Linked DNA regions of Kluyveromyces lactis. The protein of the gene in region 4 interacts with the protein of the main gene of each other region in a pairwise test. Links are inferred from orthologs where the notes say so. Each region holds a gene or a part of one and is shown on either strand. Other genes may lie near its edges. The genes, in order: RUD3, LAS17, RVS167, RVS161, AIM3 and KLLA0_D12584g.

What was found.
Region 1: the proteins of RVS161 (region 4) and RUD3 interact in a two-hybrid assay, tested with the Saccharomyces cerevisiae proteins (2 studies listed by BioGRID). The link is inferred for Kluyveromyces lactis from reciprocal best matches to the Saccharomyces cerevisiae genes RVS161 and RUD3.
Region 2: the proteins of RVS161 (region 4) and LAS17 interact in a two-hybrid assay, tested with the Saccharomyces cerevisiae proteins (2 studies listed by BioGRID). The link is inferred for Kluyveromyces lactis from reciprocal best matches to the Saccharomyces cerevisiae genes RVS161 and LAS17.
Region 3: the proteins of RVS161 (region 4) and RVS167 interact in binary tests that used the Saccharomyces cerevisiae proteins (3 or more experiments, as listed by UniProt). The link is inferred for Kluyveromyces lactis from reciprocal best matches to the Saccharomyces cerevisiae genes RVS161 and RVS167.
Region 5: the proteins of RVS161 (region 4) and AIM3 interact in a two-hybrid assay, tested with the Saccharomyces cerevisiae proteins (3 studies listed by BioGRID). The link is inferred for Kluyveromyces lactis from reciprocal best matches to the Saccharomyces cerevisiae genes RVS161 and AIM3.
Region 6: the proteins of RVS161 (region 4) and KLLA0_D12584g interact in a two-hybrid assay, tested with the Saccharomyces cerevisiae proteins (4 studies listed by BioGRID). The link is inferred for Kluyveromyces lactis from reciprocal best matches to the Saccharomyces cerevisiae genes RVS161 and GYP5.

The regions. Positions count from the first base shown.
Region 1 is NC_006040.1:590,571-594,110, reverse strand, and holds RUD3 (Rud3p), read left to right. Parts: upstream 1-1,581; coding exon 1,582-2,970; downstream 2,971-3,540. Other genes in the region: RFC1 (replication factor C subunit 1), read right to left, coding at 1-1,198; AIM41 (Aim41p), read left to right, coding at 3,333-3,540. UniProt on the Saccharomyces cerevisiae protein: Involved in the structural organization of the cis-Golgi and in vesicle targeting/fusion stages of ER to Golgi transport.
Region 2 is NC_006039.1:433,283-437,378, forward strand, and holds LAS17 (actin-binding protein LAS17), read left to right. Parts: upstream 1-1,437; coding exon 1,438-3,399; downstream 3,400-4,096. Other genes in the region: CTS1 (chitinase), read right to left, coding at 1-24; KLLA0_C04752g (uncharacterized protein), read left to right, coding at 246-650; KLLA0_C04796g (uncharacterized protein), read right to left, coding at 3,525-4,096.
Region 3 is NC_006041.1:280,091-283,555, reverse strand, and holds RVS167 (amphiphysin), read right to left. Parts: upstream 2,014-3,465; coding exon 727-2,013; downstream 1-726. Other genes in the region: CIN10 (Cin10p), read left to right, coding at 2,969-3,465. UniProt on the Saccharomyces cerevisiae protein: Component of a cytoskeletal structure that is required for the formation of endocytic vesicles at the plasma membrane level.
Region 4 is NC_006041.1:1,052,816-1,055,809, forward strand, and holds RVS161 (amphiphysin-like protein RVS161), read left to right. Parts: upstream 1-1,614; coding exon 1,615-2,415; downstream 2,416-2,994. Other genes in the region: KLLA0_E11881g (acetate uptake transporter family protein), read left to right, coding at 96-929. UniProt on the Saccharomyces cerevisiae protein: Component of a cytoskeletal structure that is required for the formation of endocytic vesicles at the plasma membrane level.
Region 5 is NC_006038.1:826,580-830,879, reverse strand, and holds AIM3 (Aim3p), read left to right. Parts: upstream 1-1,433; coding exon 1,434-4,013; downstream 4,014-4,300. Other genes in the region: ISA2 (Isa2p), read left to right, coding at 1-332; KLLA0_B09482g (uncharacterized protein), read right to left, coding at 454-1,038.
Region 6 is NC_006040.1:1,065,324-1,069,558, reverse strand, and holds KLLA0_D12584g (uncharacterized protein), read left to right. Parts: upstream 1-1,403; coding exon 1,404-3,527; downstream 3,528-4,235. Other genes in the region: KLLA0_D12606g (uncharacterized protein), read left to right, coding at 1-1,043; MRPL24 (mitochondrial 54S ribosomal protein bL28m), read left to right, coding at 3,831-4,235. UniProt on the Saccharomyces cerevisiae protein: GTPase-activating protein which accelerates the GTP hydrolysis rate of YPT1 and SEC4. Involved in ER to Golgi trafficking and polarized exocytosis.

The DNA.
Region 1 (3,540 bases), on a different chromosome or scaffold from region 4:
CATTTTTAGAGTAATGGTCATCTGATATGCTTTTGAACATCCCAATGACTGATTTATGATCCAACGCAAATTTGACACTGGCATTCAACAGACCCTTGGAACGAACGTCAGATGCATTTTTCTCTAAAACATCATATCCCAAAGATTTCGCCACTAAATGAGCGGCTGTCGTCTTGCCAATACCTGGTGGACCTGATAACATCACTGCTCTCATACTAGGCTTTTTCCCAGAACTCCAGCTCTCTAACCAAGTTTTCAATTTTTGGATGGCTCCTTTATTACCACAAAGTTGTCTTAAATCAGTAGGCGCATATTTCGTGGTCCATAACTTACTGTCTTCAGTAACAGTACTTTTACTTGAAAGATTGACATCTTTTCCCACCGATAGTTTATCCTTCTTTTCACGTTCCTCTTGTTCCTTCGCCATTTGTTCAGCTTCTTTCATCGCTTGTTCTTGTTGTTCTTGTAACTTCCTTCTAGCTTTGTCTGCTTGTTGGTTATCACCACCACCTGCAGGCATACCTGCAATTAGTCTCTTGAACCCTTCTTCATCAATGGCCTTTATACCCAACTTCTTGATGTTCTCGAGCTTTTTAGGTCCTGCTTCTTCCCCTAACACAACAACGGATGTGTTCTTGGAAATAGATTTGGTGACACGAGCACCATATCTCTTTGCTAGATTTTCTGAGGTAGATCTGTCAAGATTAGGCAAAGTACCTGTGAATACAATGGTTAGCCCGAGCAAACAGTTTGCTTGACCCTCTGGGATCTCCAATTCACTGGATGCACCAGAACCATCACCTCCTGCACCTTTCCATGAAAACTGCGTGGCTTCTTTCGTCGTAACATTATCAAGATCAACAGAAGGTATAGAGTCTAAAAGCTCTTTTACAGTTTGCGGAGAATCGCTTTTTTTAACCCTACTAACGTCTGGTTTAGTCAATCCGTTCGATGAAGGTTCACTTATCCTTGGTTTCTTTGCAGGTGACTGCTCTTTCTCATCGGCTGCGGTAGTATTGCTCCGGCTTCTTCTCGGTTGTGACGCCAGCAATTCTAGTTCGTCGTCATCCAAATCCAAGTCAATCGTTTCAGCAGCCTGGCTCTTGACCTTCTTGGGCTTCTTGGGTGAAGCATGATTTGTTCCGTGCCCTGCCCTCTTATTTTTTGCAGCTCTCAATTTATCCGTTATGTCTCCCATCTCGGACACCACTTCAATTGTACTATTACACTAGAATCAGATAACACTGAAAACCCTCTAACACATCTATATCCGACACTCACGCTTTGTCAGTTTCTGTTTTATCAGCGATGTTCTCGTTATTACTGGTATTTTTCCTGGTTTTCTATGATTTTAACATTTAAATTGTTGGTTTAAAGATTGAAGAAAAACGAACGATGTTGACGTATATAGACTATCGAAAGAAATGAATTGGCTTTCTACAACTTGTTCATCTGCACAACGTATAAATCTAGAGTACCGAAGTGACCTTGGCATATAACCCATAGATCAAGGATAGTTGTTCCTGTCAAAATTAGGGGCTCCCAAACAGCAATTGGCATCTGACCGCATTAAGAAAAAAAATGGCCAAGAACAAGAAGAAGGGCAACAACAGTAACAATAAATCAAAGTCTGCTGGTTCAGCAAAAGATGTCAAGGCTACAGAGCCAGTCCAAGAAGTGGTTCCTGAAAATGATGGCGCTAAAGCTGTCGCGGTACCGGATGATTCTCTAGAAAACTCTGATGGTGCTGACCAGTCAACTGTGGAAGCGGTTGTTACTGTGAAAACAGATGACAAGCCATCGAAACCTGAACCAGAGGAACAGCAATCACACGAAGCCACAACAAACTCTAATGCAGAGGCAGAACCGCACAGTGATTCTGAGGAGAACGATCTACAGCGTGTTAAAGAGGAAAGAGATCAGTACGAATTGAAGTATAACACTCTTTTGAGTAAAATCTCATCTATGAAGACCGTGTTCAGTCAAATGAAGCAAGCTCAACAGGAACTGGAAAACACTCGTGAGCAGTTGAATGAGTATGAGAATCAGAATATAAATTTAAAACAGAAGCTAAAATCTGCTGATTCAGAAATCCAAGAGGACAAGCAAACCATTTCTATTTTGAATGATGAAATCGTCAATCTCAATAAAGAATGTGAAAATTTGAGTAATGAATGTTCAGAATTCAAGTCCAAAATCAAAGAATTGGAATCTAAGTTGAACGAGGCATCTAACGAGGAGTCTAACATTACTTCTTGTCTTAAATCTGAAGTCAAAAGCTTAAAATCTCAGATCGATAATTTAGAAATTATCATCAACAATGAGGCACAAGATAAAAGAGATTTAGAAGAGCAGATAGCTGACTACAAACAGCAATTAGAACAAAGTGATGAAACTAAGAAACAGCTTGATAATATAATGTCAAATTTAGAAAAGCAAATAAATGATAACAACACTACTATTGAGACTCTAACCAAACAACGGACAACAGAAGTCAACCAATTCACCGAGGAAATAGCACAATTAACGAAAAATAATGAAGAAAAAGCTACCGAAATCAATAGTTTGAGGGCAAAAGTAGCGTCCATGAGTGAAGATGTAGCATTAAAGGAGAAATTTGAACGAGAGGTGAAAGAAAGAGTTCTACAGATAGGAAAACTACGCCACGAGGCTATCATATTAAATGAACATCTAACAAAAGCATTAGCGATGCTAAAGCAAAACAATGATTCTGAAAGTGTCGACAAAGAGTTGATATCTAACCTTTTCATCTCATTTGTTACTATCCCAAGAGGTGATCCAAAGAAATTTGAAGTCTTGGAATTAATTTCAAGTTTCCTTAACTGGGACACCGATAAAAAGACTCAAGCTGGTCTCATTCAGAATATGAGCAATACAAACTCCGAATCGCGAACCCAGAATTTCGTTTCTCTCTGGACTGAATTCCTAGAAAAGGAAAGCGAGAAGTGATTGCGCTTTGGCTGTCATCCTGCAGAAACTTTCTAAAAGTGATTTGTACTATAAACGTTCTAACACATAAATATATAGACTAAGTTAGTTCAATTATTCACTAATCCAGTCAAATATCATAAGCCGTCTGGAACAAACTTAAAGAAAAGCGCGACTTGCACTGAATATTTTTTTTTACTTAACCGATCAACGGTAATAAAATTGCATCTTGATGATAATTTCTATGAAAATTCAAGTAACCCAAAAGACACCGGCACCTATGAACAAATACAAAGAAACGTTACATTTAATAGACCTTCTATAATCTTGATCGTTTGGTTCAATCTTCAAGACAAGCATCCAAATCATTAGCGAATACAAAGATGTTAAGATGTGTTATCCCAAGCGTTCGCGCTACTGCAACGACCAGAACCTTTGTTAGATTTGCCAGTTCTCAAGGCTACATTGATGGGATCGCTGCATTAAAACAAGACTTGAAGAAGGCAATGCTTGCAAAAGACAACCTAAGAAAGACAACCATTAGAGGTGTACTATCTACAATTAAGAACAAGGAAATTGACAGTAAGGATA
Region 2 (4,096 bases), on a different chromosome or scaffold from region 4:
CAGAAGTAAACGAGGGTGAAACATTGTAGATTCTGTTAATACTTTTAAAGGAATGAATGGAGGGTGTTCTCTAATTTCAATACTAGTATCCTGCGAATGTCAGAATATGTAATCCTTTAATAAAGAGTGACAGATTAAAATTTAAAGGCTTGTATAGAGAGATAGCACACGCACACAGGTAAGTACTGTTATGGTAGTATTAGTAATTTTTGATATCTTGTATTTCTGGTGACCAGTTTAACACAATGATTGATAGTTGCATTACTGGTACCTCATCCTGCCATTGTTGTGCCCTTTATATACCAGAAATCACAAAATATGACATCGAGCTGGACCCCAGCACTTGTTTCAAACATTCCAAAGCATGTAAACAAACACACCACAGAAAGCATTCTCAAACACTTGCTCCTGCTCACTGTTTATGTTTACTCTGTTTCGTTTCGTTTTGTTTCGCAACATCCAAAAGCTGTTCCTGTAATATGCTAAAACATAATTTCGTGTCAAAAAAGTGCCTAGGAAAAAGAATTCTTTTTGGAAGAGTTTTACGCTGGACTAAAGAGAAGAAAGCATTTACGTTTAACGTAACTGTAAACAAGACACAAAATGTAAACCCAATCACGCCGCCTGTTGTAAACTATTTCACATCATAAGCACGCAATCCAAACACCGTCCACCTGCAAAAAAAAACCATCTTTCGATGTTTCTCCCTCTGATCTCTTCGAGCATGTAGCTGTTGTTTACCTTTTGAATACCGCATGCTGGTTGCCAAAAAAACCCAGCATAAAGCGATCAACACGTACAAAGTGATTCTGACTTTTGTCAGATGCTGCAGTGCCAGACGGTTCCTGGGTCAGGACAGAAATTCTTCTGCCATTGTGCCGCTGTAACCACGTCCACATGCGTCGGCCAGATGTATCAGTAAACAGAACTCTTAATTTTTCTCCGTATTATGTTCGAATGCGTGTTCGTACTGAAATGCTTCTTGTCTTTCCTGTACCTTGCAGTGACCTAAATGGGCACACTGTATTCCCATTTACAAATGGTCTGTTAGTACTTTTGAATTCAATATGGCAACTTGAACAAACCCCATTGTGTAAAGGTCCTTTTTTTTTTATCTCTCTCGCAGTTCTGTTGGTCCCTTCTTCTTTCACTGAATCACTCTGTGAATTATAGGGGAATAATGCCGTATTAAGAATCGCTTCAACTTTCAATATTGAAAAATTGAAAAGTTGCGAAATGTTAAACAGACCGAAAACTTAAGAACCGTAAATTATAGTCAGCCAAACCCCCCCACTCCCTAAAGTGCATCGCGCGTTTGTGTTATTTTCATTAGAACCCATCGGTAGCTGCCTCCGTCAAGAATTGATTTCAAGTTGAACGAGTTTACACTTCTTTTGAGAAATTAATAATCATAAAGCAGTTGTTTCCGAGTATACTATGGGAGGCTTGAATTCTGCTGAGAAAGAAAAGGTTAAACATGCTTTGCCCAAGGCTTCTAACAAGATTATAGATGTTACTATCGCTAGGTTATACATTGCATACCCTAATCCAGAGAAATGGGTTTATACTGGCTTATCTGGTGCCATTGCATTGGTGGACGATATCGTTGGTAATACTTTCTTTTTGAAGTTGATCGACGTGCATGGGCATCGAGGTGTTCTCTGGGATCAAGAATTGTACGTGAACTTTCAATATAACCAGGATCGTACTTTCTTTCATACCTTTGAATTAGAACAATGTAACGCCGGGTTGTTATTCACCGATATTGGCGATGCTTCACATTTTTTGAAACGAGTACAGAAACGGGAGAAATACGCGTCCAAGAAGACCTTGGCCAACAAGAATGCAATTGCATTAGAGGACCAAATTAAGAAAGAGGAAGAGAGTAAAGTGATCCATGGTCCAAGAGGCGAATCCTTGATCAGTGACCAAAGGGTCAGATATAGATATGAACCGGAAAAGCACGAGCACCGCCAGGAACACCATTACGAGCAGCCCAGCCAGAATTATGCTTCAACTGAAAACTCAGCTTCAGATGCAAGTGCCGCTCCTCCTTCTTTTGCCTCGAAACCACCGCCACCGCCTGTCGAGAAACAACCTCCTCCTCCTGTGAGCATCCCATCTTATAAGTACGACTCTATTCCATCATTCCCAAGCTCTCCTGCACCTCCATCGGTTTCCTCTACTCATTCTCCTACCCCGGATTCATCCTATGCATCAACACCAGCACCAAGTAATCCTCCTCCACCAATAAACCACCCGGTACATGCAGTTCCTCCTCCTTTACCAGCAGAACAATATCGTCCACTGGCTCAGTCACCTCATCCGCAATTCCAGCAGCAGCATAATTCTCCTTCACCTGCAGCACCTCCTTCGATTCCGCCTATGCAGCAAAGCGTTGCAATCCCTCCTCCACCTTCCCATCCAGCTCAACAACAAAACGTCACTAATAACAACACTCCTCAGTTTGGACAATATTCTGTTGCTGGTCTGCAACCACCTCCGAGACCAACTTCAACGAGACCTGGTATTGCTCCTCCAGTTTCGAGGCGTGGTCCGGTACCACCTCCCCCTCCAAGACGCTCAGCTGCTCCGCCGTCCATTCCTTCAAGAGGTCCTCTACCTAATGCTCCAACTGGCGGTCAGCATAGTCGTACTGGAAGAGGGCCTCCACCACCACCACCACCTAGACGTGGTGGCCAGGCTCCTTCTCCACCTGCAAGCAGAGGTACAACTCATAACTCAGCCATCGGCCCTCCCCAGCCCCAGCTTCCACCACAAATGCAATCTCCTCCTCTTCAACAGCATAATACCTACAATGCAGCGCCTCCTGTTCAGCAATATCAACCACCACAGCAAACCGCATACATTCCGCCTCCCCCTGTCTTACCACCCCACTCAGGTGTAAGCACTCAGTATCACCCATCGACCGAGCCTATGTTAGCCCAACCCCAGCATCATATAGCGGTACCTAATGGCACTGCACCTCCCCCAGCACCTCCTGCCCCTCCGGCACCTTTTGCTCCACAGATAACGAACTCAGCGCCCGCACCACCACCACCTCCTCCTCCTCCTCCAGCCCCTGCATTTAATCAACCTGAAGCAGGATCTGGTTTTGTTGAAAATACTGGTGATGCTGGAAGGGATGCCTTATTAGCATCGATTCGTGGAGCTGGTCTGAATTCCCTCCGTAAGGTGGATAAATCTCAACTTGAAAAGCCAAGTCCTTTGTTACAAGAAGTTCGTAGTGATGCGCCGGTATCTCAACCCACAGGCGGGTCAACTGGCGGACCTGTTGGTGCTCCTGCGTCCTTGGCTGATGCCCTAGCTGCGGCTTTAAACCAAAGAAAGAATAAAGTTGCTCGTGACGATGATATAGACAACGGTGATGATTGGTGAAAGTAATTCACCCTACTTGAACTGCATCTGACTAGACTGTGGAATTATGATTTGGTATTTGTATGTACGGTGTACCTATATATTACTTTCAGATGCCTTTAAAACAGAAGACAGATAAAACTAAACTAATTATTCAAAGAACTCCACTTATTTGACCATACCTGTATCCATTTCAACTTGGACTCATCTGAACCGTTTAGCTGTGTAATAATTTTTATAACTTTCTTAACATCATTATTGATAGCAAGTACTGATGTTTCCACTTCTGGATCTACTTCATATTCAGCGTTCACTAAGGTGGATGAAATTAAAGTATCAGAGTTAGAAACTATTGAATTGTGGAGTTGATTTAGCTCAGATAGATATGCTGCTGTAGTTACAGTATCCTTTTTTATGGTTATCGATTTGGATAATGAACTCAACAAGAGCTTAAGGAGACGAGATTTTTGCGATAGTGATTTGACAAATTCAATCATGGATTCTGAAGCTTCCTCTTCCTCTTCTTCATCTAAATCCGTACCTTCCTCATCACTGAACTTGTCATTCATTCCGAATGGGTCTGAATTTATTACTGGATCCTCCAACCACTCTTCTAACTCTTCGATTGAATCTTGTAGAAGCTTCACTGAAGAAGACAAATACTCAGTCAAGAGTCCTAAGTTACCTTGATTTGATAATAACTCTAGGTGTTCACATT
Region 3 (3,465 bases), about 770 kb from region 4:
TAATACTTACTTCTGCTTTTCTTGTCCTAAAACTTTCCGTTTCATTCTCGCGTTTCCTAAGATTGGCTATCTTTATTATGTTTGAAACTAAATAAAGTTCATCAATGAAAAATGAGCCAAAAACTGAAAAAGGATCGAGAGGGCTTCTAGAAAGAGACGTGCAAGGAGGAAGTGGGATAGTGATATCCAAAGTATTTTGAAGGGAGGGGGCTTTCAGGCTCTGGTTGTGTGCACTGCAGTGGGAGCAGTTGTGATGGTGGGAGCTAATTGTTGCATTGAAATACATAGCTGGTTTTAAGTATATATAGAGACGTATCTCTTTCTGTTCCTGCAGTAAGGCTTAGTGTACTTTCTCATGGAATTCTTTTCCATCTTACCTGCTGTGTGCTTGGAAACCAGTGTGATTTTAGTGGCTGGCTCTGCTACTGGTGATGTGTAGAAATATAGGGGCATGTAGACAGGGGTTCTGACGAACCCCTTTCGTCTCCATGAAGCAATGTCTGACTATTGCCAGGTGACCAAATATCGTCAATTCCGTCGATAGTGATGTGCATTCTGTATCCTTTAAAAGCTATGGGGCATTCTTGAATTAAACAAGGTTAGAGTATATAGTAACTACAGGCTAGGAGAGCTTTTCTTTTGCTTTATTATTTTTTTCAAGTTCAGTCTATACACAGCAGAAAGGGAATGGAAAGTGACCAAGAGATTAGTTTTCTTTTGTTTTCATTATTGTTTCGATAGTTCGACGTAGTTCCCAGGGAATACACCTTGGACGCCATTGTAGACACCGACCCACCATCCTGCTGCATCGGAACGATCCACGACTTGGATTATGGCACCAGCAGGGAACGTCAAATCACCTTCGGCTTGGGCCGTGTAATCGTATAAAGCGGTACATGTCTCCACTCCTGCACTAGTGGGAGGAGTGTATGATGCCTGGGTCGCAGTGGTGGGCACCGAATTGTATCCTGCGATACCAGCGGCACCTGCAACACCTCCGATTGGATACTGTTGTTGCTGTTGCGGCTGTTGTAGTTTTGAGTCATAGCCCATCTGTTGTGGCTGTTCAGGCTGACCGTATGTTTGGCCGTATGCGGGTGGGCTCATTGGACTTCCAGGACTTGAGTCGTCAGTAGCACCATATCTTCTTCTGGTTAAATCTAGTTTGGCCTTCGAGTATCCCAGCTTGAAATGAGTAATGGTTAGTGCATCTGTTTGCTCTTCAATGTTGCCTCTTTTAGCTTGGAATGCCTCCAAGATGTCAGTATCCAGGTCAAAGTATGGGATCTTCATGTCTTGGAACCTGTTGTATAAGGTGTAGAAGATATTCAATTGCATGTAGTAGAATGAAACAAATAATGGTTTCACGAACTCTGATTCCAATTGGAAAAGTATAGGTAATTCAGTTTTCAACATATCGTTGTAGTAGTCGTATTCTTGTTGCATTACGGCGACTTGAGCCTCGGCTTTATATTTTTTCTCCTCATCCTTTGGCGTTGGATTCTGTTTTTGTTCATATTTGTTGTACGTGTTCAAGCTCCTATCCAAATCTAGCTTTTTATGGTTTCTCTTGGTGGACATCTTTCTAATGTAATTAATAATGTTCAAAAGCTCTTGTGCTGGTTTAACAATTTTCTCGTCAATCAGAGTTAGATCAGGCTTTAAAGTAGCTTGCAACTCAGAAACAATTGCACTGTACTGCTCACTCGCTTCAATACCTTCTGGATTGTCTTCTGGCACAGCGGCATTGGGATCGGACATCTTACCACTAATTGGCTTGAAAATTTCCGACATTGCCTTAGAAAATCCAATTTGATGCTCTAGCATACCGTTCACGGCATTGAAATATCTCTTTGACTCATCGCTCAACTTCTTCGTTTCCGATTCCAATTCCTTGAAACGACGATCAGCATCCTCATAAACAGGATCAACAGTCTGCTGACCCATGTTCAGTTTTTGCCTAAAAGACTGGGGTGCTCTGGCGACAGCTTTTGTAAAACCTTTGAACGACATGACTCTCTAGGGGGAAAATATATTGATTGTTATTTGCTTTCTTATTCGCTGTATACGCTCTAAACTTCAAAACTTAACGCTTTTTATCTGTTTAAATTCACGTTCTTCGTGTTTTTTATTTGAGTGCTCTCTCTCTTTGCCCTTATAATAAATTAACTTTCTTTCCCTCGACAAAGACGCTTGTTTGTCCTTCGAAAGATTAATTTAAGTTCAGATTTGCTCTAACAGACAACTCGTTGACACGCTGATTAGATATATATACCGCTTCAGTTGCCTTTCAAGTTTGCCCCTTTTACATGCCCTTCCAAAGTGATGAAATTGAAATTGTCCAAAGTTTGAATTTTTTTGAAATTGTATTGTGCATCGGCAAAAGCGTACAGAAAGGAAAAAGGCTTGGCTTAGTTCATCGGAAATTGGCCCAATGCATTTGAGCAGTAGGCTTGTGAAAAGTTAAGGGGATGGTCTATACTGTTATTAACGCCCATTGGTTCTCCTATTGGTTGTAATTTGAGTGCGTATCACTCAAATATGCTGCAAGCTTGACCTTGTTTTTTTTTAGGCCTGCTGACTCTAGGCTAATAGTCAATGTACCCTTCGGTTGAGAATAGTTGTGGAGCAAGGTACATAAAGTGCAGCAAGATTCTTGGTAGGATATAAGTTAGGTATATTTTTACATAACGGTTGTTTCGTTATGGATATTACAAGTAGTTTCGAGAAGTTACTGTCATTGGAGATGTTGTTTGTCCTCTTTTCATTTTAATGTCTTAATATAGTAAATGACACTTTAAATTACCGAATGGGATTTAAACCATTTTCTGACTCCAAGGCTCGAACAAAGATTTACAAACTTTAAACACTTGCTGTAATATCCCACCGATCTGTTCATAGAGCGGCGTTCTTACAATCCGTTGGACAGCAAAATCCAGCATATATTCTCTTAACCTGGTACCGTATTATGGTGGACGATATTGTACGATCTTCCTCACCGCAGCGAGATAGCAGTGTCGAAGATGTGTATTCGGATTTGTACTCCACTTTCTCTCAGATGACCACCACCACTGCAAATGATATTGAACAACGACCATACCCATTCACATGGAGGACGGGTATTATGTTTGTTAGTTCGACAATTGGTGGGATGCTTTTCGGTTACGATACTGGTGTAATTTCTGGGGTTTTAATAGCAATGAATCCAAAGGATTTAAACTTTCATAGTTTGGAAATTTGGCAAAAGGAAATAATCACTTCTATAACATGTGCTGGTTCATTCATAGGATCGATAATAGCATTCCCCTTGGCTGACAGATGCGGTAGGAAACACACGTTAACGGTTTGTTGCATCATTTTTGCTGCCTCATCGATGCTAATGGCAGTTTCTTACACTTTCGAGATGTTAGTCACCGGTAGGCTGGTCGTTGGTATAGCCGTTGGCATCGCAGCTCAATGCATTCC
Region 4 (2,994 bases):
ATAATAATAATAATAATAATAATAGCAGTCGCTAAACCACATCTAGCACAGAAAAAAGGCTAAATTAAAATTTAAACTAATAACCATAACCAATAATGTCCAGTCAAAGCTCGGAGAAACACAACCATCAACACCAAGAAACCGCTGGTCACCCTACCGCGGCATACAATTCCCAAGACCCTAACGTGTACCATGACGATTTGGAACTTCAAAAGGTCCAGACCGGTGGTGAAAATCACGAGTTCATTTTCATTGGACGTCAAAAGTTCTTAAAGGATGAATTGTACGGTGCTTTCGGTGGTACTTTGAACCCGGGTCTTGCTCCTCCAGCAACCCACAAGTTTGCTAATCCTGCACCATTGGGTTTATCCGCTTTCGCATTGACTACTTTTGTGTTATCTATGTACAATGCCCGGGCCATGGGTGTCACAGTTCCAAACGTGGTTGTGTCATTGGCCGTTTTCTACGGTGGGTTTGTCCAAATGGTAGCCGGTGTCTGGGAAATCGCTTTGGAAAACACATTTGGTGGTACTGCTTTGACTTCGTACGGTGGTTTCTGGATGTCCTTTGCTGCAATTCATATTCCTTGGTTTGGAATCGGAGCCGCCTATGAGGAGGCTCCGGACCAATTGGCAAACGCCATCGGATTCTACTTGTTAGGCTGGACCATCTTCACAGTGGGACTTACCGTATGCACAATGAAATCTACTCTGGCCTTCTTCAGTCTCTTCTTCCTATTGTCCATTACTTTCTTGTTGTTGACCATTGGTGAATTCACCGGAAGAACTGGTGTCACACGTGCTGCAGGTGTGCTTGGTGTTATCGTTGCCTTTATGGCTTGGTACAATGCATTTGCAGGTGTGGCTACGCGCGAAAACTCGTACATTACTGTCAGACCTTTGCCATTGCCAAAGGCCAAGTTTTTCTAAGGAGGAATATCAAGACTTTTTTGTTATGCGATTATTTCCACACGTTTATTCACTACGGTAAAAGGGATGTGACAAGGGTTTCTTCTTTCTCCCTCAATAACAATACAATTTACTATTAATGATGGTAATAATAATAATATTCAACAATAAATTTCTGACACGTATGATTCCAGTGTTTATGATTTTTTTTTTCTTCCTTTCTTTCTTTCTTTATTTCTCTACATTCACCTTGTTAGAAATTCTCCCTTGTCCGTGCCCTCCCAAACTGGCTCCAGCTTTTATATTCCTTATTTAATTATAATATTATGATGATTTTGATGATTATATAAATACACCATTGTTTTTTCCTATTTTATTCTGGTTTTACACGCCCCTTCTGATATTTTGGGGAAAAGCCGCTGAAGTTCTCTGCATTACCTTAATTTTTTTCTCGGCATTGATATTCTGTATCGTTATTTACGATGTGTCCCCTTTTCCTTGGGTCTTTTTTCTCTGAAACACTAAAAAGCCACTAATCACACAATCTTGAAACAGATAATATATATTACATACAAATATAACATATATATATCGGTGCATCATCGATAGGAGAACTTATATCATTTAGCGTTATCGCAGAAACTAGTTGAATAAGTTCAATAAAGGTTCCCACCAAGTGAACTAAAAAAAAAAAAGTTTGTGTTTAATGTCCTGGGAAGGGTTTAAAAAAGCTATCAACCGTGCTGGTAACAGCGTGCTCATCAAAAATGTTGACAAGACTCATGATAAAGATTATGGAATGGAAGAGCGTAGGTACAGGGTCCTTGAGAAAGCAGGTAAGGAATTACAGAAGGAGGCAAAGGGATATCTTGATTCTCTAAGAGCAGTTACCGCGTCTCAGGTCACTATTGCAGAAGTTATCTCGGATTTGTACGATGATTCCAAGGCAACCAGCGCGTCAGCACACAATATAGGGAACTACTATCTACAATGTGTTAGAGATTTTGATACGGAAACGGTGAAACAGTTGGATGGGCCCTTTAGAGAAACTGTGCTTGAACCAATCACGAAATTCGCCACTTATTTCGATGAAATTGAAACAGCTATCAAGAAAAGAGAACATAAAAAACAGGATTACGATGCAGCAAAGGCTAAGGTGCGTAGACTTATCGATAAGCCGGCTAAAGACGCTACCAAGTTACCTCGTGCCGAAAAAGAGTTGGCCTTCGCTAAGGATATTTACGATAATTTGAATGACCAATTGAAATTAGAACTTCCACAACTAGTCTCCCTCAGAGTGCCCTATTACGATCCAAGTTTCGAAGCATTAGTGAAGATTCAGTTGAGATTCTGTACTGAGGGGTACACTAGACTAGCGCAAATTCAACAGTATTTGGACCAGCAGTCACGTGATGATTACGCAAACGGTCTTCTCGATCAAAGAATCGACGATTTATTGCAACAAATGTCAAATCTAAACATTTGCGCTCTAGGTTTCAACAAATAATAAGCAGCAACAACACAGTATATATGTATATGTATGTCTTCATCTCACATTCACGTTTTAATCCTACTGCTGGCTGAGTCGTCTGCCCTCTCGCACTATCCCTTGTGTTCTCCCGGGTAACTTCATATTCAACATGAATTTTTCGAAGTTTTCGGAACAAAAACCAGATATTTCAAAATTCAAGAAATATCAAACGCTACTAAATGATCTTTGACCTGACTATCATCGAAAGAGAAAGTTCGAACGAAAATAGTTACAGCTCTATTAAACTGTAGAATAGCAAGGGAGGTTGGGTTTGTCTGAAGAGGCATACAAAACTTTGATATATTGACCCCCTACCTAATTGATCCTTCGATAATATTGAAGAAGGAAAAAGAAAGAAACAAACTACCTTATCGCTCCTTCTCCGAAATATTTTTTCTCGTGAAGATCATCGACATTTGGGACTAAGTCGATTGGAACAAGGCCTATGGTTCTCTTATCCCTTTAGGTCTGCGCTTTTTTTCACCATATCATTTCTGTCTCTCTATTTCTCTGCTGCTCTTCGTTTCAATATTTTTGTCTTAGCACATTTCCATT
Region 5 (4,300 bases), on a different chromosome or scaffold from region 4:
TTCTTAGGGTGACGGTTGAATCTGGTGGATGTCACGGATTTCAGTACAATTTGAAGCTGGTACCGGAATCTGACAAGAAAATCGGTAACCAGGAACAAGAAACCGATGACCTGAATGACGAAGATGATTTTGAGACTGTTAAGGATATCGTTTATGTATTACCTGATTCCATCGGCGAAGTTGTTATTGATGAGCAGTCCCTAAAGATTTTGAACGATACCACTCTCACATATAGTACCGAATTAATCGGTTCCACTTTCAAGATTACTGGAGGAAGTATGACCAGTAGTTGTGGATGCGGTAGCAGTTTCGGTTTAGACCAGGAAACATGATGTTCTTGCTTTTTTCAACATCCTATTTATTATAATGCAGTGCATGACCCCACTCCCCCCATATTGATGGGCTAATGACTTATATTCAAATGACATTTTACATATATGGTAATGTGTATAGTTAAACTATGAGGTTCTTACATCCTAACAAATATTCTAATAGAACACCATTGGCATTTGATGAGTCTGGTTGCTCGATATATGTCGATCGCAGTGTCACTCTCTGCTGGACAATATGTACTGTTTTTATTGGGAACTCTTTCGAGATCCCTAACCTATCGCTTAATAATTTAGGTAAAAGATGCAAACCAGCGGGGAAATCGCTGACGTTCACTTGGATTTGAAATTGATTCAATAACTTGGTGTCCCTAGTCATATAATCGATTTTCACAACGTCCATATTGGATGTAATTTCTGTTAAAAACTGGTATACAGTCTCATTGTCAAGCTGTAAGGGCACCAGGTACACCTGGTGTTTGCTTAATGTCTTTGTAATCCGATTATCCTGTTGACTATTAGTACAACATACTGTATCACTCAAAAATACACGTAATTCGTCCTCAGAATTATCTATAAGCCAAATTCCTTCTTCACCATCTATATCAGCCACATCAACATTGCAGAACTCACGCAGATCTTCAATGAGCACATCGATCCGAATATCATCTGGTGAATGATAAAAATACCATCGCTCCAAGCCATTCATCTTTCGAGAAAGGAAATTATATCAATGACCAGCAATATTACAAGAGATTGACCTCTGCTTAGATACACGCTTCTCGGTCCTGGGAAACGACAACTTACCCCTGCATTCTTTTCATCTTAGGGTAGTAGTAACCTTTAAACCTTCATGTAGATCGGCTCTATGCCTTTAACAGCTTAAATAGTGAAAATCAAAGGTTTTGAGAAAAAGATTCAAACTGAACAGAATTTGACTCCTAAACCGAAAGGGAAATAAAGGAGAAGCAAGAGTTTGGACCGGTATAAATCAGTAGTTCGTTAGTTATACATTGTATAGCGCGATTGCAGAACATCATTATAATACGGAACACTCTTTCGTCAGCGGTGGCAGTTTTCTCAAGTCTTTGAAGCGCCTTATTCATGAGTAATTTTTGGGATAATAACAAGGGCAGTATTATGTCTGGTCTGGCAAGCGCCGGAAAATATGGTTATCAGGGCACGAAATATGTAGCAAAGGCAGGGTATAAGGCCAGTAAGACGCATTATAACAATTCCCAAGGCAAGAAGAATGTTGAGGAGAGTTCCGATGAAGGCTATATGAGCGAATCGGCTTCAGATTTGTCTCATTTACAAGATCCTAAGATGTTTCCACCGCCTCCTTTAAAACCGGGACAGAAACAGATATCCAGTGATGGGACTGTCATTGATGCTGGTAACGCTCCTCTGGTGCATACTGCTGCTGTGCCGATGGCCAATGCTGCTTCACACCCAGGGTTGCCTCCAAGAACACCGACAGCGAACAGTATTCCTATGCTTACTCAGCAACAAACGTATCCTCCGCAGAATATGTATCAACAACAACCGCCACCACAACCGCCAATGCAACAGCAAGTACCACCACAAGTACAGCAAATCCCACAGCCAGGGCAGCAGTTATCGCAGCAGCCAATGCAGCAGCTTCATCCTGAACCAATTCCTCCAAGAAATTATCAGACTGCCGTAGAAACGCCCCCACAATATACCCCTATTCCATCGCTTAATGCACAACACGTACAAGAACAACTACAACAGCAGTTACAGCAACAGTTCCAACCATCAATGGGTACCCCTGATCAAGGCCAGGCATTAGTCCAAGGCTCTCCCTTGGCGTCGCAACAGCAGGTTCAGCCGCAGGTTCAGCCGCAGACCTCACAATATCAGTCTCAGCAGGTACCCTCGCCTCAGATTCAAAATCAAGGGCAACTAATGCAACAGCAACAAAACTACTTTCAACCTCAACTGCAGCAGACTCAGCCACAGCAGTATATCGATTCCTATGCTCAGTACCAGCAACAAGGGCAGCAGCAAGTTCAACCGCAGATACAGCAAATGCAACCTCAGGTTCAACAGCAACCCATCCAACAACCTCCGCAAGCACAACCGCAGTATCAACAGTCATATCCGCCACAGTACCAACAACAAACCCAATCTTTGCAGCCACAATATCAACAACCAGTTCAGGCTCCTATTGTACAGCCTCCCATTCCTCAACAGGATTATTATCAGCAACAGCAGCAAACTCCTTACCAACCTGCATCTCAACCTCAAATGTATCAACAACAGCCAGGGCAACAAAACCCCATTGTATCTCCAGCTCCTGCACTTGCGCAAAGACCAAGTCTCTCCAATATCCAAACATCTACTGGCCATGGTGCATCTCAAGAATCTACAGTTTCATCAACAGCTTCAATTACCGTTAAACCATACGTTTGGATGGATTCTGATGAACGGAAGGAGAAGAAGAAAATTGAGCTGCAACCTGTGAGTGCAATTGATATTCATCAAGTGACACCTCCTCTCCACAAGGATAGGTCATCTTCTTCAAGTTTGAAGAGTTCATCAAGGGACGCATCCGTATTGGAGAAGGGGAAATCACTTTCACCAGGTCCTGCACCTTTGCCTTCAAGGAATGTCAGACCACCTACATCTGTTGATCATACCAAACCAAACACTGTGACCCCAGCTGCAGCAACTGGAACATCAGCTGAAGTTGGTGATGACCAAGTTAGACCCAATGAAAGTATCACGGGAGTTTATCATGAATCTACTGTATCTTTCCCACCTCCGCCAAAGCCAACGCATAACGGATTGCCAATGTCACCACCTGTATCGCATGCTCGTCCTACAGTATCACATAAGCCACCAAATCCTCCACGTCCTCCTGTGTCTTCGAAACCGACATTACCTCCGATTCAAACTCACCAGCGCATTACCTCCACAGAACGTGCTCCCATAGGTAGACCCAAAGAGGAAGTACATCAAGCTGCGGTGTTAGGTGCTTATAACTATAATGTTGACGTTGGTTTCGCTCCTCCCCCCAAACCACCGAGATCAATGGTAACTTCGCCAGCTAACGATCCTCAAACTTCACTTTCGTCGCGCAGACCTTCCCAAGAGTATGGTGGAGTTGCTAAAGCTTCATCAAGAACGTTGCCGCCGCCGCCGGGACAACAAAATGGCTCGTTGCCCCAGCATACAGAGGAAGAACCAGCCTCCAATAGTTCAGAAAGTGCACCACCTGCCATGAGAATGTTACCCCTAGCAGATTTACCTCCTCCTCCACAGAGGACTGATTCTCATACCACCACATCCGAGCAACCGGCAGTTCCAAGTAGAACTTTTGATCCACCTCCAAGATATTCCACTAATGAAACTATTCCTCCAACTTATAATATTGATGAAGACATTCAAACGGCACATAAGAAACCGCCTCCAAAAGTGCCAAAAAAGAAGGTATCATTAAGGGCAGGAAATAAACCACCTGTCCCCAAGAAAAAGGCTAGTTTGTCCGGTACAGCCACTCATGAACATAACGAGTCAGCCCGCACATCGTTAACGCAAGAAACTAATAACAGTATTGATGATGACGATGATGACGATTCTGGAGAAGGTAATTCTTTCAGGAAGTATTTGAGGCATGTAGTTCCTGCAGAAAGGGATCATATTCATAAGTCCAAATAACTTTAAACACATTAGTGGCATTTACTCGCATCGCAAAAAAAAATAAAGAGTTTTATAAACAGTCATACACCGAGACAGCATACTTACCACTGAAGTCCCGTTAAGGGCTCAAAAACGCGGCTGCAAATTATATAATTATTTATAGATAGGGACTAAAGAACACGCATTATCATTATTCTTTTTAGTGTTTTACATTTCATCTTATTATCATTTAAGCTATTATTTCACAGGATGGCATTCAACATCCACTACTGTATACACATGTACGAATGATCATCGTTTTATAT
Region 6 (4,235 bases), on a different chromosome or scaffold from region 4:
ATTCCAGAACTGGCCAACCGATCACAATGGACCGCCACGATGGCACTGTCGTTTCAAATGTATTTTCAGCTACAGCCAACATCGACACTTTGTTGAATAAAGAAAATAATCATATCAACGTGGATGAAACCAGCTCAGATAGCGTCGGTGGTGTCACTGGTGATGTACCCGACGTTTTGCACTCAGTGTTAAGTGCTGAAAACTCAAATATCATGAACCAATTGAGCCGAGTTGAAGTTGTGGACGGAGCGACCGTGCAACAGAGAAAATCGACTAAAACGTTCTGGAGTAAACTCTCCATGACAAGTGGTGCAAAGGAAAAATTCCTACTACATCATTACTTCATGGCACCATTTTATTTATTCGGTTTACCTGGTATCTTATGGGCAGGTTTCTTCTACGGTCAATCCCTAATTTGGTTCAATGTTTTAAACGCAACTGAGGTCCTTATCTTAGCTGCTCCTCCATACAACTTTTCCAGTACGGCTTGTGGTCTTGCTTACTTCTCTCCATTGATCTTCTCTTTCATTGTCTTTTTCCTAGTCGGTACTTTCTCCGATTGGTTGAAGGTCCGTATTGCCAGATATCGTGGTGGTCTCAGTTTGCCAGAAGACAGATTGTACACCGTTATAATCTACTGTTTCATTGGTGTCGCTGCGTGTATTCTATGGGGCGTCGGTGCTTACTATGAAATCCACTGGTTTGGTTTGGTGTTTGGTCTTGGAATGTTAGGTGGTTGTTCAATGTTTGGTATCACCATTTCCACGACATATGCTATTGACTGTTACAAGGAATTGGATACTGAAGCGATGGTCGTGGTTATCATCATCAGAAATGTCATGTCCTTTGCTGTTTCCTTTGGTATCACCAAATGGATTGAAAACCTTGGTTTGAAAAACGCATTTATCAGTGCCGCTTTCATTCTCTTAGCATGTAACTTGACATTTGTTGGAATGGTAATTTGGGGTCCGGGCCTCAGAAACAGAACTAAACATTACTACTGGTCTTTAGTTAAGAAGTATAGAGACTTGGGTATGCACTAATATATCACTAATCTTGGTCTTTTCTTTAAGCACTATTTAACCCTCTAAATATTTAGACATATATCCACCAATGCTATATTTTGTTTCTCTGAGTATACTAACGCCAACACGTTGTATATTAGGTGAATCATCCATTCCTATTATAAGCAATACGGCTTCGCTTTAACTGACACTCGAACATTCCAGTCGCGCGTCTGTTTATAAAATTACCCGGCCAGCCGTTTCAGGCTATTCTCTCGAACAAGATTGAAATATTGACCATTGTATAATTGTTTAAAGCCCATCAACCCTATGTTACCTTGAAGGAAAGTAGCACGAAACCTCTTGAAACACTATAAGCGGGCTGAATACTGTTCAGATATGACAGATCAGGTAGAAACTAAAGATGATGTTAAATCTACGGCATCAAATGATGCGGAATTGCCATTAGATGAGTCCGAGAATGTTGAGCCATCAGGGGACAAAATAGAAATAGAAACAGAACAGCCGGATGTAGCAGACGCACCTGCTAATGACGGTGCTCCCAGTGCTAATGAAATAAAGGAGACTGATGTCAGTTTTGCTGCTACGGAAAAGAAGAATAATGAAGATTCTCCTCCTATCACTGGTGCTATTGAGGTGAAGGAAGAAGTTGCAGATGAACCAGTGGATAGTTCAACGGTAGAAAGTGAAGCACCAGATACAGTGGAGGTTGTTAATAATGAAACCGAACCAATTGATACTGATAAGGATAGTTTATCTAATGAGAGTGTGATAAAATCCAAGCAAGAGATTTTAGAACAGAAGATTGAGTCATTCAATAACGAAACTAAGCCACCACATTTACCTCCAAGGGACCACATTGCGGGAGAGAAACCACCACTTCCTTCAAGATCTCATGTGGCAACGTCTTTATCTGGACCTGTACATTTCGTACCTCCACCATTGTCCGAGGAAATGAAGTCTCCCAAGTTTCGTGCTCATTTTAATCAGCATAAACGTTCCGACAGCAGTGATTTCGATTTGATATTGAACAGATTCATTCAAAACGAAACCGAATTGGAACTAAGAGATGACAAAGAGCGTGAGCATGCAAAAGAAGGTACCAAGACACTAAGAGAAGAATATGATAGCTTACTAGATCATGCGGACAAAGAATTGGTACAATACGATTGGCCATTCTGGAGTAAGCTGGTTCATAATTTTAGCGATATAGTCAAGGATGACTCAAAGAAATTAGAAACTGAAGTAGGGAAAGGTATCCCAACTCAAGTCCGTGGTATTATATGGCAGCTACTAACCAGTTCAAATTACAAGGAGATGGAGGAGTTATACTGTTCCTTACTTCTATTGGAGTCACCGCATGAAAAGGCAATCAAAAGAGATTTATCTAGAACGAAGTTCATCCCAGAAGGTAAGACAGATTCTTTATTCAGCGTGCTCAAGGCTTACTCTCTTTATGACCCACCAGTTGGTTACACACAGGGCATGGGTTTTATTGCTACTACTTTAATATTGAACTGTGAAGAAGAATGGCAAGCGTTTTCTCTATTAACGAAACTCATGAAAGTATACGGATTAAGGGATTTATTCTTGCCGGGAATGCCTGGCCTGATGTTGAAATTGTACCAATTTGATACACTTTTGGAGGAAAATGATCCTCAATTGTATAACCATTTGATCAGGCAGGGAATAAGATCTACAATGTTTGCAACTCAATGGTTCCTGACGATGTTCGCATACAAATTTCCCCTTGAATTCGTTCTCAGAATCATGGATATTGTCATACTTGAAGGTATCGAATCGATGCTAAAATTCAGTTTAACGTTGATGTTAAAGAACAGTCGTAATTTGATCATTCTCAGTTTCGATTCTCTCTTAGACTTCTTGAAGGAGGACCTTTTCCAACACTATGCTTCTAAGGAGAACCCAGAAGAGTACGATATTGATAGATTCATCTCTGATTCGTTGGAAATCAAATTAACTCCATTGCAATTGGAGCGTTACGTGAAAGAGTACGATGAGATTCACAAGTTGGAAACGGAAAAGGAACAACAATATGAGGAACAAAGAATTAAAAACAGACAGCTTCAAAAAGAGTTGAAGAAATTAGAAAATGACTATTCGCTATTAAACAGAGAGCATATCACTATTGCCAATGAACTAATTGAAAACAGACTTCGGATGGAAACTCTTCAGGACGAAAATAAGGATTTATTACTAGAGATAGAAGATTTGAAGAAACAACTGGAACGTGAACTTTATAAACAAACGTTACCTAATCCAGATGCTGAAATTCCCACAGATTTGAAAGCAGATTTGAATAGAACAATGGAAAGAAATCTGGAAGTTATGGACGAAAATCAAGAGCTCAGAACACGCCTTGACGAATTAGAAAAAGAGAACTATGAATTACGCACAGGTAAGACTTGGACCAAAGATGCCACCAATCCAAAGGGAAATCGTCTCGGGAATTGGGCTTTCAAATCACCATGGAAGAAATGAGAAAAATTGCAACAGGGACCTCATTCACAATATCCATCCAGCCGTACATATATACATACCCTTCATACATACATGATACCGCCAACCATTACGCAGAGGTGTATTCTAATCATAAATTTCCTTATGCTTTACCATTCTCGCTGTATACGGTTTTGATCTTTCCAAAGCTTATTCAAAATTTTAGAAAATAACGACTTGATACATGCACTAAGGTGAAGAGAAGGAGCTTGAACCTAGTATGAAGCTAGTTGGTCTAAGAGTCTCTGTACGTTCACCAATAAGCACGGAGATCGTTCATCTGGAATGAAGTTTTTTCCAAGTTCCCAAAGAGGGTTTTCCACTCTTAGCCACCTCCTCAGAGAATGGAGATTAGTTGAAAGCAGACAGATCCCAACTCCAAAGACGTATCAAGTCGGCGACAGCAAGCCATTATATATCCCAAAGGAGAAGAAGGAATTCCCTGATTATCCATACGGAGAATCTCCAATTTACAAACAGAGTAACAAAGGTTTATACGGTGCGTCTTTCATCCAATTCGGTAATAACATCGCTGAATCGAAGACAAAAACCAGGAGATCATGGAGTCCAAACGTTATTAGAAAAGGACTATGGAGTGAGACTTTGAACAGAAAGATTAGTATTAAGATGACAGCAAAAGTTTTAAGAACAATTACCAAGGAAGGTGGTATTGACAACTATTTGACTAAG